3 linked regions of the Canis lupus familiaris genome follow. The protein of the gene in region 2 purifies or fractionates together with the protein of the main gene of each other region. This does not show direct contact. Links are inferred from orthologs where the notes say so. Each region holds a gene or a part of one and is shown on either strand. Other genes may lie near its edges.

The links.
Region 1: the proteins of ALK (region 2) and PLCG1 purify together in Homo sapiens (affinity purification with western blotting; 3 studies listed by BioGRID, with this or other methods). This does not show direct contact. The link is inferred for Canis lupus familiaris from reciprocal best matches to the Homo sapiens genes ALK and PLCG1.
Region 3: the proteins of ALK (region 2) and SHC1 purify together in Homo sapiens (affinity purification with mass spectrometry; 3 studies listed by BioGRID and IntAct, with this or other methods). This does not show direct contact. The link is inferred for Canis lupus familiaris from reciprocal best matches to the Homo sapiens genes ALK and SHC1.

Annotation. Positions count from the first base shown.
Region 1 is NC_049245.1:29,775,425-29,785,878, reverse strand, and holds part of PLCG1 (1-phosphatidylinositol 4,5-bisphosphate phosphodiesterase gamma-1), read right to left. Parts: intron 9,985-10,454; coding exon 9,900-9,984; intron 9,810-9,899; coding exon 9,726-9,809; intron 9,494-9,725; coding exon 9,459-9,493; intron 9,235-9,458; coding exon 9,162-9,234; intron 9,064-9,161; coding exon 8,962-9,063; intron 8,729-8,961; coding exon 8,610-8,728; intron 8,525-8,609; coding exon 8,439-8,524; intron 8,362-8,438; coding exon 8,241-8,361; intron 7,828-8,240; coding exon 7,659-7,827; intron 7,524-7,658; coding exon 7,401-7,523; intron 7,319-7,400; coding exon 7,217-7,318; intron 7,138-7,216; coding exon 6,950-7,137; intron 6,721-6,949; coding exon 6,520-6,720; intron 6,447-6,519; coding exon 6,327-6,446; intron 6,238-6,326; coding exon 6,057-6,237; intron 5,125-6,056; coding exon 5,047-5,124; intron 4,284-5,046; coding exon 4,180-4,283; intron 3,975-4,179; coding exon 3,878-3,974; intron 3,671-3,877; coding exon 3,601-3,670; intron 3,072-3,600; coding exon 2,914-3,071; and 9 more. UniProt on the Homo sapiens protein: Mediates the production of the second messenger molecules diacylglycerol (DAG) and inositol 1,4,5-trisphosphate (IP3). Plays an important role in the regulation of intracellular signaling cascades.
Region 2 is NC_049238.1:23,038,402-23,048,594, forward strand, and holds the end of ALK (ALK tyrosine kinase receptor), read right to left. Parts: intron 8,303-10,193; exon of another isoform or gene 8,207-8,302; intron 8,206-8,206; exon of another isoform or gene 8,159-8,205; coding exon of another isoform or gene 8,098-8,158; intron 6,520-8,097; coding exon 6,385-6,519; intron 5,685-6,384; coding exon 5,594-5,684; intron 4,212-5,593; exon of another isoform or gene 3,923-4,211; coding exon of another isoform or gene 3,805-3,922; intron 3,078-3,804; coding exon 2,391-3,077; 3' UTR 190-2,390; downstream 1-189. UniProt on the Homo sapiens protein: Neuronal receptor tyrosine kinase that is essentially and transiently expressed in specific regions of the central and peripheral nervous systems and plays an important role in the genesis and differentiation of the nervous system.
Region 3 is NC_049228.1:42,486,635-42,496,384, reverse strand, and holds the start of SHC1 (SHC-transforming protein 1), read right to left. Parts: upstream 7,831-9,750; 5' UTR 6,173-7,830; coding exon 5,699-6,172; intron 5,105-5,698; coding exon 5,034-5,104; intron 4,474-5,033; coding exon 4,410-4,473; intron 4,252-4,409; coding exon 4,132-4,251; intron 3,889-4,131; coding exon 3,835-3,888; intron 3,663-3,834; coding exon 3,611-3,662; intron 3,448-3,610; coding exon 3,321-3,447; intron 2,559-3,320; coding exon 2,360-2,558; intron 2,273-2,359; coding exon 2,203-2,272; intron 2,121-2,202; coding exon 1,989-2,120; intron 1,831-1,988; coding exon 1,592-1,830; intron 1,282-1,591; coding exon 1,153-1,281; 3' UTR 1-1,152. Other genes in the region: CKS1B (cyclin-dependent kinases regulatory subunit 1), read left to right, coding at 9,548-9,606. UniProt on the Homo sapiens protein: Signaling adapter that couples activated growth factor receptors to signaling pathways. Participates in a signaling cascade initiated by activated KIT and KITLG/SCF.

The sequences.
Region 1 (10,454 bases), on a different chromosome or scaffold from region 2:
CGCCATGAGAGGACAGGCTCGCTGGCGTGGAGGGGCCTTCAGGGTGGGGTGAGTGGGGAAGGCAGACCTACCCACGAACTCTGTCTTCTGCTTGATGCTGTCGTACTCTGCTCCGGCCACTTCAATCTCCACGAAAGGACACACGATGCCTCGGCCATTCTTTGGCAGGTGCCGAGCCCCCAGCACCTGGAAGGCAGGCCAAGATGGGCCCGGGACTCCCCTTCCCGCTCCCTCCGGGTCCTCACCATGCAGTGGAGGCAGTGCGCCCTCTGCTGGGCCCCACAGAGGCGGCCTAATACGTGGCTCACTGAGAGCAGTGGCCTTGGAAACCTACCTCATTAAATCCATGTCTGTTTTAACATGGACATCTTTTAAACGATGTCCCCACAGGGAAAGAAAACAGAAATGTCTTCTCAGGGAAGGAGCACATGCTCACCCTGTGCTATCCTCAGCCCTCCTTCCAGATTGCTCAGCCCCCAGACCCTGAAGTCCACAGCACAGGCTGCCCGGCTGGTGCTCAGGGACTGTTCTAAAACAGAACTGGGGGCAGGCGTCATTGTCACTCAAGCCCAGTCCTCACTAGCCCCAGTGGGTGGCTGACCGCTAGCATTAGCTTCCTGTTCAGCCAGGCAGTGGCTACCCGTAGCTTGGCCTCACTGGACAGCCTGACTCTTTAGTGCTAAGAACTGGCCACATTTGGCCCACCTGCCTTGGGCCTTTGCCACTCTGGGCCTAGCCCCACGGAGGAGGCTGGCACCTGTCTTTCTGCCTCAGAGGATGGTCACTCCTTCCTTGAGCTCAGAAAACAGTCCACTGCCCACTCCCCAGTCACACTGACACCCCATCCTTGACTCAGGAAACGAGCCCCAGCAGAGCAACCCCAACCCACCCTGAAGCCCACCACAGCTCAGTGAGCACCACCCACCTCAATGCAGATGGCATATGGTTCCAGGCCTCGGAGGCTGCTCTTGTCAAAGGGATCAAAGGCCTCGTCCCGCATGGTGCTCGGCTGCAGCACGTAGCCGCAGTGGCCGCCGGCCATGAAGAGGGCCTGGTTCATCTGCATGGGCTTGTCTGGAAGAACCGGGTTACAGTGGACTCCAGCCCCACAGTCCAGCGGAGCCCCTCCCTGCCCCAGTGGGCAGTTCCTCACCTGGGGTCTGGAAGTTGAGGGCTACGAGCTGACTGCCACAGATCCACATGGGCAGGGGGTCATAATTGGAGGAGTCTAGCCGCTGGCCCTTGGGGTAGATGCGTGAGAGCTGCAGCCGGTTGTACTGGAGGAACTTCTTGCCTTTGGCCTTGTTCACATATTTCTCAGCCTTGGTTTCCGGAAAGGATGACATGTCCCGGTAGCAGGCACGTTCTGTGCCAATCTCTGGGCCAAACAGGGAGAATGCTTACAGAGCCCACCCACCCAGGCAGCTCCCCCAACCTCAACATAAGGAACGAAATGCTTCTCTTCCGCCTGCCAGGAGGCAGGGGGCGGGCACCCAAACCCACCCCGCCGAGGCCTCAGCCCTTACTGTCTTCATCGAAGGGAACCGGCCTGCAGTAGACAACCAGCTCGGAGAGCTCCAGGGCGATCTTCTTCCTGCGCTCCATCATCTTCCCCTCCGTGAGCTGGTGACACACACAGAGCCTGTAGCCCCAGGCTGGAGCCCCACCCACACTGCAGGTGCTCTCCAGGCCCTTCCCTGTCCCCTACATCTCCCAGACCCCACTGGCCTCTGTCCTCAAGTCCCACCCCAGAATCATCCTTCCTCTTCCTTGCCCTGAAGGCCACACTTGCCTCTAAGACTCTCAGAGGGTGGGATCCTCACCACCACCCATGCCTTAGCCACAGCTCAGGGCCCTGGGCTTGGCTACGCTCTCCAGTGATGCTTTGTGATCACTGGGTGTCCAGCCTCCCTCTTGTGACCTTGGTGGGGACGCAGGCCTCTGGCTCAGTCTTTGGTGTGCTCCGCCCACCTCCCAGGCCTAAGAACCTTACCACCTCCCCTCCCCCAACCCCAGTGCAGCCACCTATCCACCACAGCCACTCACAAGCTCGCCCCATCCTGTCCTCATGCCCCCAGAGGCCATCTCTCTTCCATCAGGGTCTCCTACACCCACACTCTTACTCCCTCCTCTTTCAGCCCAGTCCCCAGAGTCCATCTCCTAACCAGCAGGTCTGCCAGTATAATCCTCAGCACCTTCCATTTTGTATGGCTCCTGGGTGCCTGTTCTCCAGAAGAGCCACAGACCTGTAGCCCTCTACCCCCACCAACAGCCAGAGGAAACGGCCATCACATAGAATTCCCTCACCTCTTAGAGTGCTTTCCTCTCTCCATTCCCCAGGTTCAGTGGAAGAGTCCTCCCTCCACCCTCCTCCCAGCTGGCCCTGGAGGAGGCGCACTGTCCGTGCCATTCCTACACTCCCCGACACCCGCAGCCATGGTTCCTGGTAGTGGCACCAGGACTCTTAACTGCTGCCAAAACCAACGGGCACTTTCATGTTCTTACTGTGCCTGTCAGTACCTCCACTGCCCCTCGACACATCTGACCCCATCCACCCCCTCAGCCACTTCTAGCTTCTCTGGCCCACCTTCCCGGCTCCTCCTCCTGCTATCCACACCTCAACATTAAAGCCCTCTTCCCACTCCATACCACTCATCCCTCCTGAGCCTCCAGGTACCTGGTTCCTGCCTCCAGCCCAGGACTTCTCTGGCCCTGCGTTTATCCTGGTGCGTGTTAGACCCACAGGGGTGTCCTATGGCTATCTCAAACCCAGCCCTGAAGGAGCCACAGGACTGGCAATGTGTGTTTTCTGCGGATCCCAGCCTAGAGGTGGGCCTGGTGCCGCAGGCCTCGCCCCCAACAGGCTCACATGCTGCCAGCATGCGCCCCTGCGCCCCCACAGACGCCTCTCACCCTGGCGTCTGCCGTCTGGGCCACTTCTCGGATCTTCTTCACCCAGTCCTGCAGCTCTTCCTGTGAATCAGCAGCGACATCCAAGGACCAGTGTGCCACTGAAGCCATGCTGATGGAGAAGACGAAGAGCCGGTTGTTCTTGCCCTCAGGACGGATAGCTGGGAGAGCGAGAGAAGAGAGCTGGGAAGGTGTTTCTGTGTCCCCCACACCACAGCCCAGGTGCTGGCTCAGAGTCCCCTCACCACCCATCCTCCTCCCCACACATCTTGAGGGAAGCAAGGCTGCTGGGCTAGGCCCATTTTCCAGCTGAGGACACCACAGCTCAAAGAGAAGTCGCTGCCAGAAAAGGCGGGCCAGGGCTGTCTTGCCTGGGTCACGTGCCCTGCCCCACCCCATCTCCATGCCCAGCACACCCTGTGACCCCAGCTCTGAAGACTGCAGAGGTTAGCTAGCCCTCTGCATTACCCCCACAGTGCCCAGCACAGGGTGAGTGTGTAGGGCTCAAAGCCAGAGGTGAAGAGAGGAGTCTAGGGTGTCAAGTGGGAATCCAGGCACAGGGAATCCAGACTGCGAGAGCAGCCTCTGTGATGGGCAGGCATTGGCTTCTTCCCTCAGAACACCTAGAGAGCCACCAAGGAGAGCCTGACCATGAGGAACAGTGGGCTGGAAAATCAGATGGGGGCTCACCAATCTGACAGGCTGGCACATCCAAGACCCCACGGAGCAAATCCCCCAGGGGGCTGTTCTCATCCAAGTGCTGTGGAGAACAAAGTCCATGGGGCCATCAGCATGTCTGCTGTGTATGTGCGTGTGAGGGAGGGCTATGTGCAGGCAACACACACGTCTTACAAGCGGACACACGACGACATGAACGCACGGACCCCATAGCGGGGTGTGACTGGACTGTGCACGAGAAGAGTCTGGGGACGGGGACCCTGTTCCAGCAACATGGCTCTGTTCTCACCTCCCTCTCAGGCTCCAGGGCTGCAGGGCTGACCATCTCTTCTACGTAGTTTGACGGGAACCAGAGCTGCTTTTTCCCCCCGTAGTCCCCCCGCCACCTGTGGAAGCCATATGGTGCTGACCCCAGTAGCCATCCAGATTCCCAAGGGGTGGGAAACCCATCGTCAAGGCCCCACACCTACACCAGGCTGCAGCCAGCAGTGCTGACGCACATGCAGGGTGGACTACAACCATACGGTGGCAGAGGTGCACAGAGCCTGCCCCCCACGCACCGCAGGCCCTGGCTCCAAGGACCCGGCTTACCAGCCACCTTCTTGCTTCTCCACATTCTGGATGATGGCGCTCTTCGTGAATGTCAGCTCGTCATCCCTCTGAGCCTTGTAGTCAAAGAGGGCTTTGACGGCACACTGCAGGGGAGGGAAGCATTGGTCAGGGCAGGCGGTCCCTCCTTGCCACTCTCCTGACCTGGGGCGGCCCACCTTGCTATGATCCTTAATAATGGCCCTACAGGTGGCTCCAGGTCAGATGTGACTGAGGACAGGCCCAGGGCTTCTATCACAGAGACTCCATGGGGTCCAGACGAAACCCTGCAAGCCCCCCAGCCTGGGCCCTGGGGAGAACTTTGAATCTGCCCCCAGGAGTCAGGGCTGCAGGTACCCTTAGCGCCTCTCCTGGGACCTGAAAGCCTATAGGCATGGATGGGACACTATCATTCCTCATCTGGAATGTGGGAGAAAATAACCTTTTTCCCAGGTTCCCTGGCCACTGAGGGAAGGGAATGAGGAATAGGGCACAGCTTCTTTACCCCTTAGAGAAAAAAGCAAAAAGGTCTCTGGCAGACCTTCAGGAGGTGAGGGACTGAGAAGCAAAGAACAAAGTTTTCTGGCCAGTGTGGCCTGCCCCTGCCCTGCTGCCCTGTTGCCACCCATGGAGGAAGCGGGAGTTACCCTGGGGAACAACCTGGAAGGGTCACTGCGGACCCCCCAGGGACAAGTTCAGGGAGGGGGTCGGCCCCAGGAGAGCTGTGGTCGTACAGAAACCACATCTCTCACAACCTCTCAGGCCTCGGAAAACCACAAGCACCACTTCTCCACAACGACCACAGATGGGCCCCTGAGCAGAGAAATGCAAGCCCTAAGCATTCCTGGGTCCAAAGGCCTGAGGCTGTACCTTAAAAGTCGGCATAGGATTTGCCTCCACATAGAAGCCAGGGTTGCGTCCCTCATACAGGGCTCCATAGTCAGGCTCCTAGAAACAAGACCAAATGTGAGATGTTCACACCCAAAGAGGACAATGGCTGCCGCCTTGCCTGTGCCCCTTCAATCAGCATAACAGTCACCATGTGTCCCGCCTCACTAGGCCAGGTCCACCAGCATCTCGGACCTCAGTGGGCACGGCCTGCCTGGCCCTCTCCCCCTCCACGTTCTTACCCTTGAAACCCACCTTGTGATTCTGAAACCTCTCTGTTCCTGAAGGCCCAAACTGCTGCTGAGCTGTTTGCAGTGGAGTCTTGCAGGGGCCCCGCACTCAATGTTCTAGCTCAGTGGCTCATCTACTCCTCCCTGTGCACCCCGGTCCCACACACCAATCCACCAGCCGGGCCCCAGTATGTGTAGTTCTATCCCTGGACACCCATGCCTGCCAATGGCAAGTCTCAAGTGGACCTCCCCTCCTAGATGCCTTCCTTCTGTCCTTTGGTTCCAGCCCTGAGCCCTCCCCGCCCCCAAGATCATCTGTGCAGCCTTCCATCTCACTTGTCTTAACCCGGTGCCTCTCCCCTCTACAGCCACACTTCTTGTAGCCAGCTCTCCCCTGCGCTAGTGACAGTCAAGTTTACACCCAGCTGGGTAAGCCTCTGGCCTTGGGACTACCGTTCCCTGTGTGAGCTCCAGGACTTCCTTACCACACACCCAGCTTGCGGGGGCTTAGATGCCCACCTCTAATCTCTTCACCTAATGCATACCCATTCTTAGAGACATGTCCTCTTAGATGACATTCCCTCCAGGACACTGTCCTGGCACCTACACCATGGCCCCCAGCCCAGCAGAGTGACCTACCCTGGAGCTCCTCCAACTCCCTGGCTTCTGTGTCCCACACAGCCAGACTGTCCCATGACTACCCCCAGCAACTAGCCCAGGGCTGCACTGCCTGCCATGCCCCCTCAACCACTGGGCTCTCACAGCTGTGCCTATCTTCTCCAGCGCTTCCTCATTGATGGGATAGCGCAGCTTCATTTTGCGGTATAGCGGGTGCTTCTCATAGTAGCTGATGAGGTCCACGAGGCTGTCAAACTCAGAGTTGCCCAGCATCACAGTCTGGCCCTCCTGCTGGACGCGGCAATGTTTGATCTTGCCCTCGGCCCTTAACAGAACAGTCACACAGGGTCAGGGCATCCCAGACCAAGGCGTAGCCCCGCACCACCCAGAGCACCCCAAGGCCACACCCCTCACCGGAAAGAGATGGCATAGGAGTTGGGCTCATTCCGTTTCCTCACCAGGAAGGCCCCATCCCGGGGAACACGCATCAGCATGTGCTCGGCCTGAGCTCTGGTCAGGCTGGCGTGGTACCACCTGAGGACAGGCCCGAGTCAAGCCCTGGCCATCACTGCTCAGGTCCCCACCCAGCCCCCAGCCCCTCCCTCACTCTTTGCTCTCGTGGGCATTGGTCTGTGGGACCGGCTCTGAAAGGCGCATCTCAAATTCGTTGCAGCGCAGGGGCACTTGCTGGTAGTGCGTGATGAGGTCATAGAGCGAATCAAAGACCAGGTTGTCTGTCAAGAAGAACTTGGGGGCCCCAGCATCCTGCCGGGAATGGATCCGACAGTGCTGGACTTTCCCGTTCCTCCTGTGGGAAGATGGGGAGGCAGTGGGAGGCAGTGAGAAGCAGGCTTGGCCTGGAACATGGCGCTCCAGCCCCAGGGAGATGCCCAAGGGGCTTGGGTGCCAGGCAGCCCTGCGGGAGGGCTTCAGATCACCCAGAAAACTGTATGTGCGTGTGCATGCATGTTAGTAGATCACGTTCCATGTGAAAGCCTGCAACAGGAACCAACTACAGACTGTGGTAAGTGGGTTACCAGAAAGAGAGGGTATAGTCGCCCACGAAGGTCTCGCTCTCCCGCACGAGGAAGGAGCCATCAGGGGCCCCGGTCTCAATGCAATACTCGGTGAGCAGGCGCTCGGCAATGTGCCGTCCATCCCGTCCTGCTCCAAGCTTCCCGTGGAACCACTTCTCACTGGAGTGCAGCTCTGTGCTGCCACTGGCCTGTGAGGGGAGGGCAACAGCAAAGACACTCAGTGACTCTGACCCCAGCCCAACCCCCAGCCCTGGGCTGGCCCCTCACCTCCTTGGGTTCCTCCTCATCCTCATTGCCCTGGTCACTGCTGGTCTCCTCAGAGTAGTAGATCTTGCTGCTGGTCAGAACGAAGTAGTGGGGGTACCACTCCTGGGAGAGACCGAAGTGGGGCCCGTGAATGGAGGCCTCCTCCCACCGTGCCCCTCCAGCCTCAGCCAGGCCTGGCCCTCACATGGTTCACCGGGTCCTCCAGGTAGAGGATGCCATTCTTGATGGAGTTGCTGATATCGTTCTCGGAGTACATCACTGACGTAGGCACCTCTTCGTAGGCACTGCCCTCTGCCAGCTTCTTGTGCTATGGGGGCAGGCCAGGACATGACAGTGCCAGCCCAGTCCCAGAGTCTCCCCACCTCCTCACCAAGGCTGAGCCTGCCAGTTAGAGCCATGGCCTGGGCGAGGTGCTGGCAAGTGCTGGGCCTCCCACTGTTACCTTGATGAGGATCTTCCTCTTGAGCTGGTTGGGTGAGGGGAGCCCGTCAGCGGCGATGTCCACAGGCTTGGTGAGGAGTGTGTCCCCAAGCACCTTCTTGAAGTACTGCGCCATGTTTCTCTGCTGGGCGATGCTGCAGTGGTCCTCGATGGACAGGATGACCGGATACCTGCAGGGCAGTGGACCAGTGCAATGACAAACACCTTACAATTTCAAGGGGTCAATGCTCAGTCCAAATGGCCCCTCAGGAAAGGTGTTAGGAATCAAGATCCTGGAGGCCCTGTCTCTAGGGAAGCTGCCCAGAGAGGATGCTGGCCCTGGCCGCTGGATGGAAGTATTTTCTGAGGAGGGTAGGACTTCAGTTTGCTCCACAGACTAGAGAAGAACCCATAAAGGGGGCAGGCTGAGGATGTAGGAAACAGGGTGGGGCTTAGAAAGAAGGGCTCCAGAAAGCAGCAAGAAAGGAAGGGAGGCCAAGAAGGACAAAGATAAAAAGGGGAGTGGGGACAGGGCATTAGGGGGGCCCTCTCTCCCAGGAGAGAGCTGGAGCCAAACTGCCCCCTGCCCCTCCCCTCAACTCACTCTGAAGCCACGAAGGCATGCTCCTTGATGGTATGTAGAACATCTGAGAACTTGATCTTGGTGGTAAGGGTGTGCCCATGGTAAATGACTGGCATCCCATCTGGGCCATCCCAGCAGTCCACTGGGGAGGAACATGACCACAGTCAAGAGGGCAGGCCTCCTAACCTACCTACTCCCCCAGCCCCGGCCACCACGCACACTCAATGCAGCGACAGCCCATCCGCAGGCAGCGAGCATAGGCTTCCAGAGAGGACTCGCTGGAGAACTGGTCCCCAGTCAGGTACCTGGACAGGGAAGGAGAGGTAAGGGTGGTTGGGTGAGTGCCTCCTTCCCAGGGGTGGGCCGGGTGAGGCCGAGTGAGCCACTCACGTGTTGTGGGAGGAGGAGATCCAGTAGTGGGACAGAGGGTTGTTCATGGTGTCCGGGCACACTGCATCCAGCTGTGAATTCCACACGCTGTTCTCTTTGGAGAACAAGAAGGTGACAAACTGTCCAGGAAGAGGAAAGAAAGGAAAGACAGAGTGAACAAGCCCCTTACCAGCCCACTGGCATGGGCCACGGTGGGAAGGAGATGATGCTCATCAGTGTCTATCATGGTGGGCAAAGTGGACAGTAGGGAGGAACAAGGTGGAAGCCCTAAGGAGAATCTGGCTCCTGAGACCCAGGTGGGGTTCTGGTGAGTGCACCCCTACTCTGAGGGAAAGGTGAAAGTAGGGTTCACCTCGTCCAGGAAGAAGTAAGGCTCTTCAATTTCTCGTAAAGGATCTCGAAGGAAGCTGAGCATGAACTCCTGCACCTGAAGCCGATCAACAGCCCACAGCTCCTGGTGGGGATGGGTTGGGGAGGGGTACGTGAAAGGCTGTCAGTGATGAGCCCAGCCCCCCTTATCCAGGTACCATGGCCCTGTCTGACCAACCATACCCCCTGGTACTCGAGGAGGAACTGCTGAAACTCAGGAAGGGACACACGACAGAGCTCCGGGCGCTCCCCTGCCCTGTGGAAAAGAAGGGAAGTACCTGGCAGCCAGGTGGCTAGCACAGCCCACAGATGACGAGGGGCCCCATGGAAGGCAGAGTCCAGCTCCCACCCAGCAGAGTTGTCCCAAAGGGTCCAGCATGACTCATCCCCTCCCAATGCCTCCCACCTGGACCAGGCATCACCAAGGGAGAGATGGAGGAGGCCCGGGGGAGAACCCTGCCGCCCCGCTTCAAAGCAAACCTCAGGGCACTGGCTTCCAAGAAGGGGAGGTCCATCTGCAGGAGACAGAAGCTGGTCAGAGCCAGAGCCCCTGGGAGGCCACATGGGGGAAGGGCTTTCAAGAAGAAAGGCCAGGGCAACAGACAGGGGGAGGCCTCCAGAGGAGAACAGCTGGAGAGATGACACCCAAACGCCCTCAAGCAGGGCAGCGGGGCTGATGTGGGTGGGGCAGGGGCTGGGGCAGGAGGTTGGGGGCAAGGGCCAAGGGAGGGCAGGTGGCTCATGCACCGTCTTCTGGGCGCTGTACATGAGGCTGCGGTACAGCTGAGCAAACTGCCCGTAGGTGATGTCACTGCTGCGCTGCTCCAGGTCCTACATGGATAGGGCAGGACTCTGGTCAGGCCCACAGCCAGGAGCTCCCAGGCCGCCCCTACTGCCTGCAGATAGCACAGGGGTCCTCACCGTCAGACGCTCTCGGAGGAAGCGCATGTTGGGAACCCGGTAGTTGACCTGGGACAGCATGTTCTTCAAGTCCTTGGCTGATATACTGAGGAAACAGGGACATCCCCTGGGGCCTGGCCCAACATCTCAGGACCTCTGACTTGTGGGCTGAGCCCACCTGGGGCTGGATAGGTAAATACTCCCCTGGCACCTGGAGTCCTGAGGCTGAGGCTAAACCAGAACCCTTTGGGCGATCAAGGGAAATCCCCCCTCCTTTCTCTGGGGCTCAGTCTCCTCATCTGAGCAAAGAAAAAGGTCATGATTCTGGCAAGAAAGGAGTGAACAGGCTCAGTGGGGTGGGTCAGGGGAGCCAATCTTTAGGTCTCAGCACTCAAGCCTGTTACCCTCTAGCCCCTGCAACAATCCTAGGGGCTTATGGCTCACCCAGGACACAGGAGACAGCCTCCCCTGCTGAGCCTCCAGGCCCCGCACAGCTCACTCATACATTCCTGACTAGCGACCCTGAAAATGCTGGGAATTTGTGCCTCAGCACCTGGCATTGGGGAATGGGGGTAG
Region 2 (10,193 bases):
CTAATTGTGCCTGTGCTCTAGGTAGGACTCTTCTATCGTAGTTAATAAGGAAGGGCATCCACAGCATCTGTACAAATCGCTATAGCCATATGGGTTAGAGCAATACTGAGTGGACAGTAGTCCAGGTTAATTTCATGGTGATACCTGGGGCTTTCAGCAAGTTAAATGACACATCTTGAGGTCATCATATCTCAGTGTGGAGTTGTTTATTTACTTATCCATGTATACAGGCTTTTAAGACTTGACTATCATTTACATGAAGATTGATACCAGTGAAGACAATTAGAATCAGCAAATCAAACTCAGTGGTAGTAAGGCACAACCTGAAAAATGTAATGGATTTGTAGTTTTTAAGAAGAGAAAGGGATACGATTTTTTTTTCTTCCCCATTAAGGACCATAAAGAGTTGGCTATTTAACCATGTAGCATGCTCCCTGTTTAACTGGTTATTGGTGTTACAGATATAAAATGGAGAAATTGTTCTCAGTTCTTGTCAGCTCCTCCATCATTATCTTTTAGGAGAGTGTTTCTCAAAGTATCGTTCTTGGGCCCCTTTAGGTGGTTTATGAATTAATGTTTGTATCATTGGACTATTTACTTCTGTGCCTGGTATGAGCCAAAACTTTACTGATATGGTTATTTAGAGATGAGTTTGTTGATGTTTCAGCATCATCTGTAATCTGGTGAAACTATTTGGGCAGCTAAGATAAAGGAAAAGTGGTGTCCAGGGTAGGAGTGCTTCTACAAGATGTGCAGGACCACCGGCTAGGGCAAGGTATCCGCCACAGAAAGAATGGACACTTGGCTAGTATTGGCCTGGAACGGAATGGCTTTCCCACATCCACAGGGAGCCTTGTGATGTAGGTGAAAGTGAGGAGGTGGGGGAAAGGTGGAGATATATTTATAATATATACAGTCCTGTTGCTTGGGAATGCTTAGAGCCTAGCAAGTAAAGAAAAATGCTCTCCTCCCAAAGTGATGTTTTGGCATAGCCACCAGCAGGAAGGAAGCTGAGCAAAGGAATGGCAGGGAAGCAGAAAGAAAGAATGAAATGAAAATTCACTGATAAAGCATTATTGTGTAAGTACGGGGGTGTAAAACAACACATTTCCAGTTCGCTTTGATGGAAATAAATGTTATTTGTGAAAACCGGGTTCGGAGCCCCCACTATCACATGCCAGCATCCATCTCCACACTCCAGTGCCCGGCTCTTCCTCTGCCACCCAGAGGGAAAATTCTGTTTCCATCTCCATTTGGTAGCTATCTAAACAATGCTGTGTATATTTGAACAAATCATGACCCCATGTACACTGGGATCGCATGCTGCAGGAGGGCCGAAGGCAGGGGAACACTAGAAGGGCGGACACTGTCCCTCTCAGGACCGCTGAGGGCCTGTTGTTCCAGTGACCCGCCTGCCGCTGCCGGTGGAAATGTCTGTGTGGTTCACCTTCATGATGGAAACTGTTGGAAGATTTTGGCCTGGGATGTATTGACACTTAGGCCCATGAAGGGACAAGTTTCTACACTTCGATCTATCACTGCTGCTGAACATTTTTGCTTTTAAATGATCAGAGTTGATTTTAATTAGTGGAAGGTGTTAAATGAAGTAAGAATTCAAATCTTGCATTTTCAATCCAGTAGGAAACCTCGCACTCACTCCCCCTTGGTAGGAGGGTTTTCTTAAGGCATGAGGTATATTGACAGGATGTTCGAATCTCTGGATCTGTACGCACTGTGTCTTTATCATACTCAAAGTACGCCGAGTATCTGCTTTTCGTTCAGATTAGTGTATTCACATTTTCTCTATGGTACCATAACTATTCATCACATTTTTACAATCATCAGTGAATCGACACAATCGAAAGCGTCCCGACATCATCTAAAGGGCCATCTCAGCTTAGTCGTCTATGATTTTTTTCCTTTCCCAGTAAAGAGAGTCTTTTCCCCATGCCAGCTCGTTCCAAGTAGCTCCTTTATATCTGTTCCCTGCCCCCTTCAAGTGGTCCGGGTCCACGCCAGCAGGGTCAGGAAACACCTATGACTCCCGACCGGGAGACACATGAGCAGCTGGTGCTGCCGCACCGAAGCCGAGCAGACACGATCTGAGAGAAGCGGGAGGAAGTGGACATCAACCATGCATAAAAACCTTATGCAACCGAACTGGGGCCTTGTAGTCATCACTCGTCTTGATGATATTTTCTTCTTTTGAAACAGTAAGATGAACCCATGCTCAAAACCTTGTTTTCTAAAGCATTTTGAAAATACAGCTGTTTATGTGGCACTTCAAGACAAGTTGGCACAAAATGAAAAGTGACATTTGGTCTCTGGTTGTGGAGGAGCGATGACCTGTCCCTCCTCCGTGGGCTCGGGGCTCCCGAGTGCCAGGGGGCTCAGGGCCCAGGTGGGGTTTTCAGGAGGGCGTCCTCGTACTGGCTGCTTCCGGGCGCGGTGGTGCCCTCGAAGGGTAAGCCCTGTTGCTGGTAGCCGTAGTTGACGTTGCCACACGGGAAGTGACGCAGCCTGAACAGAGGCACTTCCTTCATGCTGGCAGTCAGCGAGGATGGTTCTAGGAGCAGAGAGGCACCTGGGAGTCTGCCAGCTGCCACGTTAGGTGGGACAGTACAGCTTCCCTCACGCCCCAGGTTCCCCCTGTCGTGGTGCCCCTTCGTTGCTGGAGGATTGTTCTTTTTGGTGGGTTTCTCTGTAAACCATGAGCCGTAAGTTGGGTTCCATAGGCTGGTGGGTTTGTTTCTGGATCCCTGGACTTTGTGCAGCTCTGACGCTGGGTTGGACTGAGAGAATGCCATGTTCACGTGTCCTCCTTCCACAGCTGGTCCCCTAGTGACTCGACCAGAGAGCTCCGCAGCCGTGGGCTTCTTGGCAGCTTTGCCAGAGGAAGTGGAAGGCAGGGGAGGCGGGGCAGCTGGATCTGGCCCTTCCTCCCGTTTAGCTTGTGGAGGAGAGACGAGTAGAGGAGGAATTCCCTCAGGGTCTTGGGGCCTCATGGGCACCTTCTCCTCCTCTTCCATGAGTGGGCCATACTCTACGGGCAAAGCAGTGTTGATCACATCTGGGTCCTACAGGCAGGAGAAACAAACGGATTACGATGTTGAATCACAGACCAAAACTGCTGGATCTGGAAGCTGATACCTTACTGATGGTCTCATCCAAACTGATTTTACACGTGAGGAGACCATTCAGTGTTGATTGGGGATATTTTAATTCAGAGGCACCAGGGAATAGGAGATGAATAGGAAATCATCCTTTTATCGGGCCCTGGAGGAGGCGCTATCAGAGGAAATCAAGAAGGCTCAGAGGACCAGCTGCCCCTGAGAAGAAATGCCGGTGGTGTCCTCCCTGGCGGGGGGTGCTGCCCGCCTCTCCTGCTCAGGCTGCCACAGCTGGTGGACCCTGGCCTCTCCCCATCTCCTGGGAGCTGGGGTGGCCTCCAATAAAAAACTGCTGGGTTAAAAAAAACAAAAAAAGGACGTGGAGGGGAAGCACTCGTCTAGAGGTGCCAGGTGCTGGGATGCAGCCAACCAACTGCCTGGCTTGGGTGTGTGGGATCAGGGAAGACTTTGCAGGGAACCACCTTTGGGAAAATCTGACAGATTCATGGATTTAAAAAGATTATAAATCAGTTAAAAAAAACTTATCCCAGTCTGTTCCCAATAAACTCCCTGCCACTGAAAAGAAAAATCTGGGTGTTTGACTTCAGGTCGGCGTGTGTGTACACATGAGGGACGAGGGGAGGGGAGGAGAGACACACTGTTGGCTCACAAGGTTTCTCTCTTCTCTTCCTAGCTACCTTCCATTTTCATATTTGGATGGGCTACACTTGATTATCATGTTTGCTGTGTTACATCATCGTATCGTTCTGTGTGCAGAAAACACAGTGGTTCTTTATCTGGTCTGGACCTGACCAGGCCCTTTGTGAAGCCCAGGAAGTCCTGCAGTGCTATGAGGAAAACCACTTACAAAAACAACTTTGTGCTAGATCATTCTTAAAGCAATGGATATATAGAAAAGCAGAAGCAGTTGCCAGAGATATGAAGAAAATCTGTGGAAGGAAACTCAAGCTTGGGGGAATTTAATTCTTTAATATTTTATGCAAAATGGGAAAACCATTGCGTCGGTGTAGCAGAAGAGCACTTTGGTCCAGTATTCATCAGTAAAGAGTATAAGAATAAAAATACCTTCTGCTTCTCTTATTCTTTAGTTCCTTCCCTGTTAATTATTAATCTCTATGGAGACTCATTAGAAATATGCTTGTACAGAATTACCTGCTTTTAAGAGGGACGTTATCCACTTGGGAGAAAAATGACTCCAAAGTATATGTATTTAAGTGGGTATATTCTATTAGAATTACAACATAACAACCTAAGATGCCATTCACTGAAGAGCAAGTTTTCTGAAAGAACCCTACATAACTTGATAAATGAAGTCCATCTAGATAAAGGCCCATCTCCGCACTTCTGAGCTGAAGTTGCTGGAAGAGCAGGGCGGGAGTGCTAGGAATGAATGATGTGGCTTGAACACGTATTTGGCTTCAGTCACAACCAGGATGGGGCGATTTGGGGAGGTAGTGGTGCCTGGCCCGACTTCTGAAATACTCTCTGGAGTTAGATATCCTGGCAGAATGAGAGCCAAGGGAGGGAGAGAGGCTGATGTGTGGAGAGGAGATCCTGCCTGCGGAGGGAGGGAGGGAGGGTCCCCGGGGAAGCTGGTGGTGCAGGTGCAGGGGCTCCTCTGAGGGAGGGGACGGCCCCCTCCACTGACTGGTGGGGAAGATGGTGAGAACGGACGTCCATGCATAGACAAGAGGGTAATGAATTCTCAGGCTCTCCTCTCTTGAAGTAGGAGGCAGGGTCTGCTAAAATGGTGTAGAAAGGGAGAATTTCGAGTTATTTCTGAAGGAAATGGGAGAAGGATCTGCATAGGGACCAGTGGTACTGCTAGGAAACCGTGAGGCTTGGAAAACCTCTCTAAGCCTCAACTCATCTGGAAAAGGGGGATAGTTTATGTATCTCCCTGAGGACAAAATGAAATAGATGAAAAGTGATCTGTATATTTAGATGCTGTACTAATGCTATTGATAATGTTAAAATTTCTCCAGCTTACTTTGTTCCTCCCTTGAATCCCTCTAATATTTATCATTGAACCTCCCATTTAACAATTATATACGATTAATTATTTCACATTAAAAAAAAAATTATTTCACATTATTATCTCTCTAGCCACACCATAAGCTATTTGAGAGCACATGTTTCCCATATTTCTCTGAAGCTCCAGTTTTGTCTAAAAAACCATTACCTACCCAGGAGGCATTTAGTTTAAGCCTTGTGATTTGAACTGATTCCCTAATGGTATTGGGTGTTCTGCAGCTGTGTCATGTTGTTGGCAAAGGAAGAGGTAATAATTAGCATTTATTTACAAAATGGGCAAACCGAGGGACCAGTTGTCTTACTATAGATAAGCAATCATCCTCGTGATTATAACTCACATTTTCTGGCTGGCTTAACTTTCATTTCACAGTTTGGTATTTGCCATCTTTTCCATATAAATGCTGGTTCAAGGGGGAAAATGTTTATACCTGGGTACAGTATTCAATCCTCTCCAAAATAATGGCAAAGTTGGGCCTATCTTCAGGCTGATGTTGCCAGCACTGGGTCATTATCCGGTACCTAAAAGAAGAGTAAATACGCTAATTAAAACTAGGAGAACAGGGATGCATACATTTTTCCCAGCATTTTTCTAAGGGGGACCAGAGGAGGCAGTCTTTGAGTGACAACTTATCTAGGTCCCATGTGGTTGGCATCTGCTGCCCTCTGCTGATGGGCCAAGGAATCGTGCCCAGGTGTAAAGGTACTAGAACACCAAAGCTCATTAACAGACATCCTGCTGTTAACGTGAAATCTGGCTCCTCTCCTTCCATTTCTGAATTAAAGTCACCTCTGGGGAAGAATATTCTAATTATATTTCCCTTCTGCCTTGCTTGTGCGAAGGAGGTGAGTGATGCCAGGCAGGACAGCAGAAAATGCAGGGAATGGGAATATTTAAAGGAGACTTAAGACAGATGGTGTTGGGCAGCAGGGGTGGAGTCTGGGACACAGATTCCTAGGAGGTGTTGAGGAGTGGGAGCCTGGTGAGTCCACAGTCTCCAGCCAGACAGTAGATAACTTTACAGACGTGACATTACTGCTTTCGAGGACTTGGAAGACTGACCCGCCTCACAGAAGTCACAGACACACCCCTATCCTGGGGTGTATTAAAAGAGGTCAACCCCTCCATCTTAAAACAAAAAATGCATATGTGGCTGCAGTATTTTTTGAAAAGGAAAACTGTCCCTATCAACTTGTAGAAATGTTCCTAAAAGGGTCATACACAGGCCCAGGACAGTTCTTAGGTGGGTCCATCCGTCCTCCGCTGGTGACGAACTCCAGAACTTCCTGGTTGCTTTTGCTAGGGTATGGCATGTATCCAAGAGAAAATATTTCCCACAGCAGCACTCCAAAGGACCTGCGCACAGGACAGAAGATATCATATGGGTACACGTATACACAAGTAGGCACGCACACAGATATATAGTCCTACAGGGACACACATACACACAGATGTAAAATTTAAATTCTATTACATATCTTTCCACAATTGAGAATTCTTAATATGGAGAAAAAAAAAAAAACAAAAAAGAATGAGAAAGTAGCCACATGTGATGCTCCATAAAAAGATAACCCTTGTTAGCATGTTATTTTTTTGTTCCAGTCAAGTTTCTATACTTCGATTTCTTTTACATAATTGCAGTTATATTTCAAAAGCAATTTTGAACCTTGACTGTTTTTGCAATTTCCATTATAGCATAAGCATTTTCTGTGCTCATAGAAACATCTGAAATGGCTATAAAACATTTCATTGAGTAGTTGTGCCACAATTTGCCTTATCATTTCCATATTGTCTTCAATTTTAAAATTATTTAAAAACTGTAATGAATATCTTTCAAATCTGTGATGTGTTTTTTAAAAGGACAATTTCCTTAGGACAAATTCTTCAAATTTAGGATTAGGATAATCTAGATAATCTAGGATAATTCTAATTGAATTACTAGATCAAAAGAATGTAAACACCGAAAAATTCTTGGCACATCATGTCCACTTCCACACTCCAAACATGTCAAGCAGCCAGCATTGTGCATCAGACACTCTCATCAACATTGACTATTCTAAAAAATAAGAACTTTTATAGATTTTAAAGTAAAAAATGGTAGAATCTTTTAAATTATGTTTATTGACTTGATAAATAACACGGTTGAGTGTTTCTCAAGTACTTATTAATTCACTTCCTTTTTTTCTCTATCAATTGTGTATCTTTTGCCCATTTGTATCTACATATTGTTTGGGTATTTATCAAGTTTCTTTTTGATTTTTAGACATACTTTATTAGAGATGTTAACCTTTATCCAAAATTGAAATACTTCTATCAATTGCTTTCTAATTCTACCAAGTAGTCAAATCTATTTTTTAAAAAATTTTGTGATTTCCTCCCATCTGTTTTATAGATTATGCAATCCTCCCTTCACCAAAGATTAGATGAGTGTTTGCTGTTTTCTTCTAAGTTGTATTTGTTCCTCCTCTCCAGCTGGATCTGAGAACTTAGTTTGGTGTATGGTGTGAAGTAAGGGTTCTAAACTGAATTGTTTTGCAGTCACTCTTCTAATACTATTCATAGAATGCTTTTCCCCTTACTATTGACTTGTGAGTAAAAACAGGTTTCCGGGCTCTCTATTCACTTCCATCTGCTTCTTGCATTGACACCATTCTGTGTTATATTTTGTGTGTTTATGTTTTAATATCTGGTAGGCACTTTTTTTGATATTTCTCTTTTTAAAGAAATATAGTTGAATTCTCATTTATTATTTGTTTTAAATGAGCTTTAAAATGATGCTATCATGTTTCAGAATCGCCTTTCATATTCTGACAAATTTTTATTTTAAACCTTTAATTTCGTTATTAGCTTTTTTAGCAAAAAAAATGCCTACTTTTGTTTTTGTCTTTGGTTGTAGTGTTTGAATGTTAATAAATATTCTATCAAAAACTGTAGGGAACTACACCTCCTCCATCTCCGAAGGAACAAAAAGTACATCAGCTCAGCAAAATTTTAAAGTCTCTTGTGAGGAGCATCGAGCAAAGATATTTTCCATATTTTTCAGGTGAGAAGGCTGAAGCAGAGGTTATTATACAATTAATCTGAGACAGACTGGAATACATTATTAGATCTCTCAGCTCTGCTACCTACAAATTGCCTGGTACATATATAATTATTTTTCTCTGTTTGGTGGTTTGTCTTCCTCCGAGGCAAAACAAAATGAGCAAAATCATGCAAAAGCCTGGCAGCAAGGCCTCAAGAGTTCCAGCTGTTTTCTGCCTGTCTACATAGCTAGAGAAATAGATTGTAGTATCCTTTGAGAGAACCAGCATGGAGATGGCAAATAGATGTTTATTTTCTTGGTTTGGAGTTCAAAGGAGCAAGAAGTAGTGTTGGTCGTAGAGCTTTGATAATTTCAGGTAAGGAGAGTTGTCAGATTTAGTGAATAACCATACAGGACATCTAGTTAAATTTGTTCCAGAGAAACAAGAAAAACTTTTATTAATTTTTATTTTTTTAAGAAAAACTTTTAGAATATAAGTACATCGCAAATATTGCATGGGATGTACTTGTACTAAAAAATTATGCACTGTTCATCTGAAATTCAATTTTAACTGGTAAACTTTTATTTTATCTAGCAACCCTACAGATCAAGTAAATCTATATTTTGTGTGCCAGATGGTTCTTTAATCACCTATAAGCCTGTCTTAGAAGGAGCAATAGGGCCCACCGCTTTGCACTAAAGCATTCAAAGTCAAATAAAAACAAGTATTAAAGAAAATCCCACTTTCCTCCTCTTGGCATTAAACTTGCTCTGCCTGAGATTATAGAAACAGGTTAAGTGCTTGCTGATTAAATTATTTTAAAAAATGTGAATCGATGAAGATAATCTGATGAAAACGTTTTAAAATCATGAATTGTGCTGTGCTTAGCAGTCTTTTAAAGTTACATTTTATTTTCCCTTGTTCATAACCTGGAAGATTGTCTTGAGATGTAGTAGAGGGTAGAACACAGATTTTGGAAAAAGGGGACCCAGAGCTGTATGGTTTCCGGTTATGGAATGAGTGAGTCAGGGGGATGAAAGCAGAGGGAGTAGAGTCAACAGTACTGTTGTACTAACGCTGTACAGCAACCGATGGTAGCCATGCTTGTGGTTAGCGCAGCATAGCATGCAGACTTGTCCAACCACTGTGCTGTACATTAGGTGTCGACTATACTTCAAGAAACGAAAAAAAGATTACAATGTTGTATTCAAATACCCAGCCAGCTGATCCCACTGTCTCTTGTAGTTCTCCTGGGAGCTTCAGACTCACAGATCAGAAGCCCACTCAGCATCTCCACTGGCCTGTCTTACAGGCATCTCACACTGGACTTGTTTAAGAGCTCCTTCCACACCCAGCTCATCTCCTCCGTTCTCTCTAGTGGCAGCCAGCTAGGAGTTGTCCTTGATCTCACTTTTCCACACCTCCCGCTCCACAGCCACCCTCAAGACAGAGCTTGAGTCCCACCACTGCAAATGGCTTTCCCTGCCACCACTAAGCCTGGCCCCTCTGTTCTCTTATCTAGAAGTGGGCAGGATTTCCCCATCTTCACCTATCCCACTCTCGTCTCTTTTCATTGGCAGCCAGTGATATATATATATTTAAAGATCCCATCAAACTCTGGTTCCAACCTTTCAGGGGCATTCCATTGTGCACTAAATAAAGCCCACATGCCCTAACCTGGTTCCCCTGGCCCTCCATGTCTTGCCTCTGCCGGCCCTTCTATCTCAACTACCACTGACCCCCATGCTCACTAACTCTGGCTTTGAAGACTTGTTTTCTTTCTTCAAACAAGTTCATCTTGTTGCTGCCATTGACCTTTTATACTTGACTTTCCCCTCAGTCTGGAAAGCCTTTCATGTCTTTCCATCTTTTTGCCATCCAGGCATTGGACCGTCACCTCCCCCATGGAGCCTTCTCTACACGAAACTGTATTAAACAGTTTCCTCCCTCGGGCCTTCCACCCCTACACTCTTGATCCTCTGCTTTTTGTTTCCATGGCACTCATCA
Region 3 (9,750 bases), on a different chromosome or scaffold from region 2:
CACTGGAAGGGGGCTTTGAAAAGTCACAGAGGCGTTGTGTACACGTTGTCGTCGATAATCATTTTGTGCTCAAGGTAAGCCATGGAAAACAGATAAGGAAATCTACAGCCCTAAAATATATGCATATAAAATAAAAATAAATGCAGTCCCAAATGTACGATGGTATTTGGGGATTGTCTACTGCTTTAGTCTCAATGCCCCTATTCCTGCCTCCACAAATTCACCTGGCACAGTTACCAGTTCAGGAAGCCAGAGTCCAGTTGCCCGCCCCCCACACCCACCCCAGCAGGAGGAGGCAGGGGTAGAGGCTGCAGGACCAAGGACTATGCTTTGGCTGTAGAGCATAACATGCAGGCAATATGGGAGGGGTGAGGGGGGGTGATGGGTCGACATACGAAATGTATATACAGACCCCTTGGGTGAGGGGCCCCTCTGGCCAGGAGGCACTGAGCAAGGGAGGGGTCCATCTCCCCGCTGGCCAGGAAGGAGGGACTCTGAGGCAATCTCTAAGGGTTGCCTATCCCCCGGAGAGGGGACAGCTGCCATTCCTGCCTCTGGTCTCCCAACTTAAAGCAGAGCGGTTGCTGAGCAATGAGAGGACAGGGTTCCAGAAGCCAAGAAAGTGTCAGCACTCCCACCCTCCACTTCAGGGGCTCAAGAATTCTTTGCATAAAATGTCTTCAGACCTAGAAGATGGTCAAAGGCACAAAGTTTAACCACTGGGAGGGAGAGTTGTTGAGAGGGGTCTGGGATACCCTGAGCCCAGGAATAGACCAAAGGTGTGATTCAGTCCCCTTCCCTGGGAAGGTGATTGCCCCATTAGGCCTTTCTCACTTCAAGGAGGCACACTGCCTAGGCCTCAAGCACCCACCTTCTTGGGGAAGGGGGTATCAGATTGGCACAGGAAGGGCCCAGGGAAGGGGGCCACTCTGTACATTAATACTTTGGTAAGGTTTGGGGAGAAACAAAATTCTACCCCAGGCTTCTGACAAAACCTCTCATTCAGCTGGATGCTGAACCATGTCCACACTATCCCCAGCTCCAACACAACAAGGCCAAGCCCACAGAACACCCTCAAATGAGGTCCTGAGACTCAAGGAATAGAGTGGAAGTGGTGGAAGGACCCCTTCGGGGAGAAAGCACTGAGATGGATCACAGCTTCCGCTCCACAGGCTGTTGGAGACAGAGTTCACTGCCCGCAGAGATGATAGGCAAGTGATTGTCCACGTGGTAGCTGATGAGGTGGCTGACACTCTCAAAGCGGTGATCCTTTGTTCGAACCTGAGGAGTGGGAAGGGAGGGGGTCAATTCAGGTGAAGGGCATTGCCACCTCTCCAGGATGGTTTCCTCCTTTATCAAAAGAGGGGCTCAGGCAAAATGAACACCCAGCTCAAATGCACTTCAGGGCTGGGCATTTGAGGACTGAAAGGAACAGAGCTCAGGTTCAGGAGTCTGAGAAGGGAAGAATGCCTGCATCTACCTGCCAAGCAGGAAAAGCAGTAAGCAGGGAGGAAAGACGCATAGCTGCATGGAGCATGCTGCACCCTCCTTTCTGCCACGCCCTCCCCCCCCCAACTCCTGATACACTCACCACACCCTCCGGGTCCACCAGCAGCAGGTGCTTGGGCTGCCCACTCTGCAAGCCAGTGAGCACGTACTGGCCGGGTGTGGTCGTGCTCTCCCGCACCAGGAAGTCCCCATTGAGCTGCAGCAGGGCCTCGGCCTCCCGCCGGCTCAGCTTCCCATGGAACCAGGGCTCCCCTCGGAGCTGCTCAGCCATGGCCACCGCCTGGGGAGGTGGAGGCACCCGAAGCGCATCTTCGAAGGGCTCTGGGGGTTCAGAGAGAGGCCTGAGAGGCAACTGGCACAACACACACCCAGACCCAAACTTTCAGGGAGGGGAGGCCGGGAAGGAAAGAGCAGGACACAAGGGGAGGAACCCAGGGAGTAGGAAGACAGAGATGCAGAGTGGAGAGAGAAGCACTCACTCATATCAAAGAGATCTCGGGGCACGCTGCCATTGATGGCAGGATTGGGGGGCCCAGCCCCACCCCCTGCTTGCCGGGCCCTGTCTAGGTTCTGGACATTGACGTAGGATGGATCATCAAAGAGCTCTTTACCTGATAAGGAAACAGAGGCATCACCGTGACCCCAGCCCTGCCTCCACACCCCTGACTCTGCCCTTCCCAGCTCCCTTCACACCTGGGCAGGGTGGTGGAGGTGGCATCTGTTTGCGAATTTCTGGGTCTCCCCCAACAGGCTGCCCCACAGGCTGCAGAAACAAAAATGAAATGAGACCAGAAGCCCAAATTGGCCACTCCCATCCCAGGCCCAGCCCACCTCCATCCAAATAACTTACCAGCGTTGCTCCCAGGTGGCTGGGGGTCTGGACAACGTGTGGGGTGGGCCGAACAGCCCCCAGGGGGGCTGCTTCCCGAAGCCTCATGTCCACCACTCCCCCAAGAGGGGGCTCCTTCCCCGGGAAGTCATTATAGTACTGGTGGTCAGGTGGCTCTTCCTCCTCCTCATCCCAAGCTGAGCCGTCAAAACCAGCCATCCTGAGAGGGACAGGAGGGAACAAGGGGGCACAGACAGTGGCCATGGACTGGGTACTTCCTGCAGGGTGGGCCTGAGTCTGGGCGTTTCCTACACACAGGCATTCTATCCCCCTGGCAGCCCTGCAAGGTATCTATACCCCCTTCTCCAGTGATACAGGTGAGATGAGGAGCAGAGGTGGAGACGTTTGCTTATTGTTTCACAATTAAACGGTGGCAGACCTGAATGGTAACATCAGATTTGATTTAAAGTTCATGTTCTCAGTTATTATGCTATCTCCCAAGAGGAAGGGGAAGCACACAGTAGAAAGAAGGGATGCACTCCAGAATATTTTAACCTCCTCTAAATACTCAGTAGCTACTGATCTAAGGTGGGAAAGAAAGGTCGAGATCTCAGGAAAAAAGACACCCTCCCTCACCCAAATTCCTGATGGCTCTATGGGCAAGAAAGTGAAAAAATAAGGACGGAGAAATGGTCAAGAAAGAGAGACAGGCCAGCAGTGAGGTGGCTGAGGACAGAAGGGCAGAGCAGCAGCACGGTGGCCTGGCATACGAGAGGAAGAGCGGGCCTGCAGAAGCAGGCAGGACCTGGCCAGACTTTCCTGACGGCCACAGGAAACGTAAGAATAGCAGGAAGTGGGAAACAGGCACACAGGTTATTTCCCCCTGACCCTCTCTGAGCTCAAGCGTGGGCAGTGGAGCAGACCTGCTTTCTCAGTTCCAGCTAGTGCCTAGGAGCTGCCCATACCCTGCGCACCCGCTCACCTGTCATGAGGGGTGACCAGCTTGGGCGGGTTCCTGAGGTATTGTTTGAAGCGCAACTCGAAGGCCTGGCCGATGGTGCTGATGACATCCTGAGCAAGCCCTTCGGGACATTCCAGGATATGACAGGCTGGGGGCACAGTAAAGGCAGTCAGTGAGTTCTGGTGGACTGCTGGGAGGAGGCGCGGTCAGGGGCCTCATCTTCCCAGCCGAAGCCCTACTTAGCTACCCAGGTCCTGCTCACCTGCCTCACGGACAGCCGGCCCCACCCAGCGCTCCCCACCACGCCTCACCTCTCTGATTCACCGGGTCTTTGGCAACATAGGCGACGTACTCAGCTGTGTCCTGGGGTGGGCAGGGTCAGAAGAAGCCACTTAGCTCCAGTTTCCAGCCCACCTCATTCCTGACCCCTACACATCCTGGTCCTTTCCAGACACCACTTGGACCCCAGCACACCCTCTTTCCAGACAGCATGGCCCCTACTCCTCCCCCACCTCCACCCTGTTCCCCAACTCACCGGGTCCCCACCGGACGCAAAGGAGATAGACTGCATGTGGTGGTTGGCGATGATCTGAGGGTTAGGGCAGGGTACAGAGAAGGAAGGGAATAACACAGGTCAGGCAGCCTTGGGGCCTTCCTGGGCACCCCCAGCCCGGGCCCGGAGCCCTGGAGTGTCAGTCCCACCCTTTTGGCTTCTTAGCCCAGGTCCTCCTATGCTCCTCCTTCCTTCCTGTCTTAGCTCCTGGCCCTGTGGCCAGGTCCCCGCTCCGCTCTCCCAGCAGTGTTTCTGGCCCCCTTGCCCAACCCCACCAACCTGTTTGCAGTCTGCGGCCATAAGGTTGAGGCTGCTGGTGGAGACGGTGAGAGTGATTGGCATTCCCGCAAATTTCAGATTACTCCTCCCCAGGATGGCACTGAGTGGGCGGCTACAGGGCTAGGGAAGGGCCCAGAGTCTCAGAAGTTGGGGGCTCCCCACACCACGAATCCCCCTCCCTCCGCCTTTTGGCCTTCCCCCCACAGGTCCCAGACTTATCTTCCCCCTGCTCCTCCACATTTCCCAGCAGTGCCCCCAGCCCCATCAGCCCCAGGTACCTTTCTCCTTCTTGTAGCCCCCTTGGCACCGGGCACAGCCTCACACACCAGACTGATGGCCTCCCTGGAGAGAAAGGGGTCCTCAGACCCACAGCCTGCCTCCCACTCAGCTGGGGCTGCCACAGGGCAGGGGGAGGGGAAGACCAGGCCAGACTTCAGGGGCACTCCAGGCTCTTTGTCATGGTGGATTGAATTAAAGGCCTTTAATATTTGATGACACGGAGAGGCCACTTCCTGGCTGATTGGGTTAGGGCCTCTGTGAGTCTGGCCCCACCTACTTCCAGCGACCAAATGTCCCATTCCATCCCAAAGGCAGCAGCAATCTTCCATCCACCCCATTTTATACTCAGGCTCCAGCTGCCAGCTGCCTCTGCCACCTCTCCCACCATACACAGGACTGGATAAATAAGAAGGTCCCAGACCAGAGAGGTGCTGCTTTTCATTCAGACTTAGACTGATTCCCCTAACTTTCTCTCAATCCTTTATCCCTGAAGGTAAGCCATCACTAGCAAGTGACCAAGACCCACTCCCTCCTATACTCACTGATCCAGGAGCCCACTCCCCTATGTACCCCCTCTCCCCTCATTAATTCAGGAATCCCCAGTCTGCCCCCTCCCCACTAACCTGGTGACTTGGGTGCGGGTGTTGAAGTCCAAGGCACGCATTGACTGCAGGACCTCCACACAGCCCATGTACTGAAAGGAGGAAAGGAAGGTAACGAGTCAGCACCCCCTCCACAAAAAGAGTCCCAGGCCTTTCCCCTGAGTGCTTCCTACACTTGATCTTAGCCAAAAGGCTGACTCTGAAGAGTGAAGACCAAGTTTTGCCCACAGCCTGCGGCTACACCCACAATGTGCCAGACCACAGGAAATGAGGGGCGGAGGATCGAGCAAGCCAGGAGGGCCTGGACATCTGGGAAGAGGATCTCGAGGACAGTGATGGGCACTGGGGTGGGGGGTGGGGAAGGTGACATCCCCAGAGGGAGGAGGCTGGAGGATACAATCAGGACCGCTCATTCCCACACTTACTAAGGGTGGCAACGTGCTGGGCTTTGTGCTAAGCATGGCAGGGTGGGGGAGTCACCAGAAGTAAGGGGCCCAGGCAGAGCTGGATGGGAGGGGCCGCAGAATAAGAAAGGGGAAGAGAGAGGTGTGAGAAGCGATCCTGAAACCAAGGGAGGTACCGGCAAGAGCAGAAAACGAGAGGCTCCCAGCTCGGCAAAGCTGGAGTGAGCAGAGGAAGGAGTCTGGGAGGGAGCAGGGAGGACCGAATGGGAGACATTCACTCACCCGAACCAAGTAGGAAACCCCAGGTCCCATGACTTTGTCGTTGGGATGTAGCCAGCCCCGTGTGGGCTTATTGACGAAGCTCCCGTGGCGGGTCCACTCCTCGCCCCCCAGCTGGCCCCCTTCCACCCGCGTCCTGCGCCCGCCTCCTCCACTCAGCTTGTTCATGTCCTGGAGGAGGGGCAGGGGGGCTGAGTCCAGCACGGCGGCCCCTCCAGTCCCCTCCCCATCCTTAGAGGCCCTTCCTGGCTCCCCAGCTGGGTTAGCCAGCTTCAGGTTGCTCATCCGGGGGAAGAAGGAGCACAGGGTAGTGGGACTCTCATCCCCAGGCAGAGGTGGCAGGATGGGCCCCAGGGAGGAGGCCGATGGGGAAGGTAGTTCCTCCGGTGGGGTGGACCCTGAAGCCCCTTCCTCCAGCGATGACAGAGACTCATTCCGAAGTGGATTGTACTTGGGCTTGGGGGGCAGGAGATCCATGGCTGCAGTGAGAGGGAGGCTGCTGCCCAGCCTGGCCCCCCTGCCAGTCAGGGCAAGGGGGCCAGGCAAGGGGCATCCCCAGGCCTTTAGTCTGCTCGGATTCTATGGCCCAGGGATCTCAAGGATCCTGGGGAGGGAGAGTGACAAGTGGCACCAGCGGCCCCAGGCTCAGACCCAGATAGTTTCAGGCCCCATCCCCCGCCCAGCGTGGAGCCTCTTCCCAGGCGGAGAAGAGAACAGGCTGGACCAGAAGCAGCCTGGCTCCTCCCCAGGGGCGGGGAGGGAAGGCCAGAGACCAATCCCGAGGACAGTGCTGACTCACAGGCTCCAAGGGGCTAAGCCCCCACAGCAGCCCCAGCCTAGAACTCTGGCAGGGATAAAGCTCTCGGTGCCCCCACCCTGCCCCGAGACAAACCACCAGTAATCTGGGGAGGAGTAAAGTGGAGTGGGAAGGAAGGATGTGGGAAAGAGAAGGAAAGGAGGGAAATAAGAAGAGGTCTGGATCCATCCACACAGGACATGGGCAGGCCACAGGGAGCAGGAAGCTGCGGGAGGGTAGGGGGACCGGGACAGGAAACAGAGGGAGCTGGGAGTGGAAAGGAGGGGACCCCTGAGCTCAGCACTTCTGTTCCTGTCCTGCTGGAATGCCCCCCCTCCTCCAGCCCTATCACACCGTGGGGTGGTGGCTCTGGGGAGCCTGGGCCATTAGCGCCCTCTGCTACCACAGCTGGGAACAGGTGGTGAAGGGAAGAGGAAAGCATCCAAGTGGTCCCAGTGGACGCAGGGAAGGCCCAAGAGGAAGCACGAAGCTGGAGAAGTAACGGGAACAAAGTCCAACCTGGGTGGTGCACCAGGGAACCTTCAGGCAGGAACTGGAGCCTGGGACGGGCTGATGGAGTCCTGCCCTCCATGGCTGGCACCTACCATGCCAGGGGCAGCAGCCCACAGCCAAGCACTCTTCTGTACCCCATCCCACAGGTCTAGTTAGCAAAGCAGGCTGTCACGGGCAATTCGGTGACAGGGTACTGACACAGGGGTCGGCTTCCTGGGTCACATAGGTGACAGGGCACTGACACAAGGGTTGGCTTCCTGGTCCTGCCAGGCATGTTCATACTCCTTCTCTTAAGTGGAGAAGGTTAGGTGTGCCCAGGGAGCACAGTGCACCCAACACCAGGGGTAGAGTCTCACTGGAGGAGGTGGGAGAGTACAACAGTTCTCCAAGAGAAGTGGGGAGAGGAAAGGACAGGCCATGAAAGCACAGAGGGAGAGGAAGACAAATCTGAGCCGGGGTGCCAGGGACGGGCTGGGGCCCATCCCTTCTGCACAGCTTCCAGCTCCACTAGAGGGGACCTTGAAGGAAGAGGCAAAGTCACCAAAAAAGCACTAGAGATAAATACAACCTCTATGCTCACCTTGGAATTACCTATTCTTAAACTGCAGAAGATACAAAGATGCAAACTAGTAGCTAATAATACTAACACTCAAATCGTGTTAGATACTGTGCTCAACTCTCTCCCCTGGCCTTTAGCTCTCTGGCCTAAAGGGATGGAGGAAAGGCTTCTACCCTGGCCTCTGCAGCCCCTGCACACAGGCCAGGACGTCCTCCCCTGCCGGCGTCTGCACAATCCAGAAGCGAGGACCCGCCCACAGGTGTGGGCCTTAGGAAGGAAAGAAGGAGGAAGTCGGGCTCTTTAAATTTGCATAGGAAAGGAGATGGCCTACAGGGAGTCAGTGTGGCTGGGTGTGTGGGGAGGAGCTGCTCCAGGCTTCTCAGCCCAGCGGGGAGGAGGAGGCAAGTAGCAGGAAATGGCGAAAGCCTCAGGAATGTTTCCAGAAGGGAAGGCTGGGCAAGCGGGACCAGGAGGAATGCCCAGACAAGAGCTCTGCTTGGGGGGGAGGGGAAGAGCCCAAGAAGCGGCGGGGGCTGGGGAGTCCCTTCCAAAAAACTAAACAAACAAAAAAACTCAAACAGCAAAAAGGCCACTGTCCCCTCCACCCACGCCAGGCCACCGTTTCCAGGCAGCAGGACACTCTAGCTCCTGGTGCACCCGCAGGTTGCACGCCAACCTCACGGCCCTACCAGCTCCCGAGGTGCGGGTGCTAGCCCTACAGCTGTCTCTGGGGCGGAGTCTGTCCTGGGCTGGGAACCCAGGAGCAAGTCTCTCGGCCCCTTTGGCGCCAAACCCCAAGTCCAGGCCCCTCTCCGCGGGGCAGGGGGAGGGGCAAGGGAGGCGGAGGGCGGCCCCTGACCTCGCCCGGCTCGCCCCACCTGCTGGAGCAGAAGCACTGGCTCCGCAGAGCTGAGCCCCAAGCCCAAGGAGAAGAGAAGCTGTGTCAGCAAGGGGCTTCGGGACTACCACAGCGCTCCGAGGGGCGGAGCCCGCCCCACTCTGGACGCTGCCCAGGGGGAATGGGCCCCACATCACGGGTACCGGGCACTGTAAGAGGCGAGGCTACAGCACCGCCCGACGCCATCAGGCGGGGGGCGGGGCCTCTCGGAAGGCGTAGCCTCTGGGGCGGGGCTGCCGGCACTCGGCCGGGCCTCGGAGGGGCGGGGCTCTGGCCTCCTGGGGGACCCGTCGCCAGAAGGCGAAGAATCGGAACTCAGAGAACTACCGTCAGGTTTCTCACAGTCGGACTTGGAAGCATGTTCGGGGGTGGGACTTCCAGGAAAGCTGGGCAGCAGGGTGGGGTCGTGGACAATACACAGAAAACAAGTCGGGGTTCGGGGAGCCCCCTGAAGATGGGGGTGGGACTTCCGGGGAGGGGGGTCTCAGGGGGCGGGACTTGCACATGAAGACCGGAAGTAGGGTCCCGGGAGAGGGGTTCCGGGGTGGAGGAATGGGTCACCTTAGGAGAGGGAGAAGACCTAACTCACCAGGGCCTCATGGAGTCTCCGCACCGCACCGCGGCTCGATTTGGTTCCGGATCACGCCACTGCCTCCTTAGGTCGCCGTTCCAACTTTCTCCCCGGCCTGGCCTCCCTGAAGAAACTTTATTGCACTCACTTCCGGCCTCACTAACCCCTGACCCTCTACCTCAGCGTCCCTCCTTCAGCCGTCCCACTTTGCCGAATCAGCCAATGGCAATGCGAGAACGCGCACGGGGGCAGGAATAGCCAATTAGAGGCATATTTTTTCCCTACGCTCATTCTTGACTAACGTAAGCAGCGCGGTCCAATAAGGACTCGAACAGAAGCAAATCTAAACCAATCGGCGGCTTGAAGGTGGAGTAGTCCCGCCTTAAACCATGGGGTCCAATAGGAAGCGCGGGCGGCGTGTTTGAAAGCTAGGCCAAAGTGGGTGGGAGCGCGTGCTGCTGGGAGTTGTTTGGAGGTTGCCGGAGTGGGCCTGACGGTCCTCAGGCTGAGTGATCATGTCGCACAAACAGATTTACTATTCGGACAAATACGACGACGAGGAGTTCGAGTACCGGTTAGTGCCGCCGCGGGGGCCATAACGAGGTCGTGAACTTTGACAAGTGAGGGCAAGAGGAGTTAGTCACCGGGGCTGAAGCAACAGGACCGGCGCATGCGCGGGGGACTCCCGGGGCGCGGGCGCGGAGCGTAGCAGGGCGCC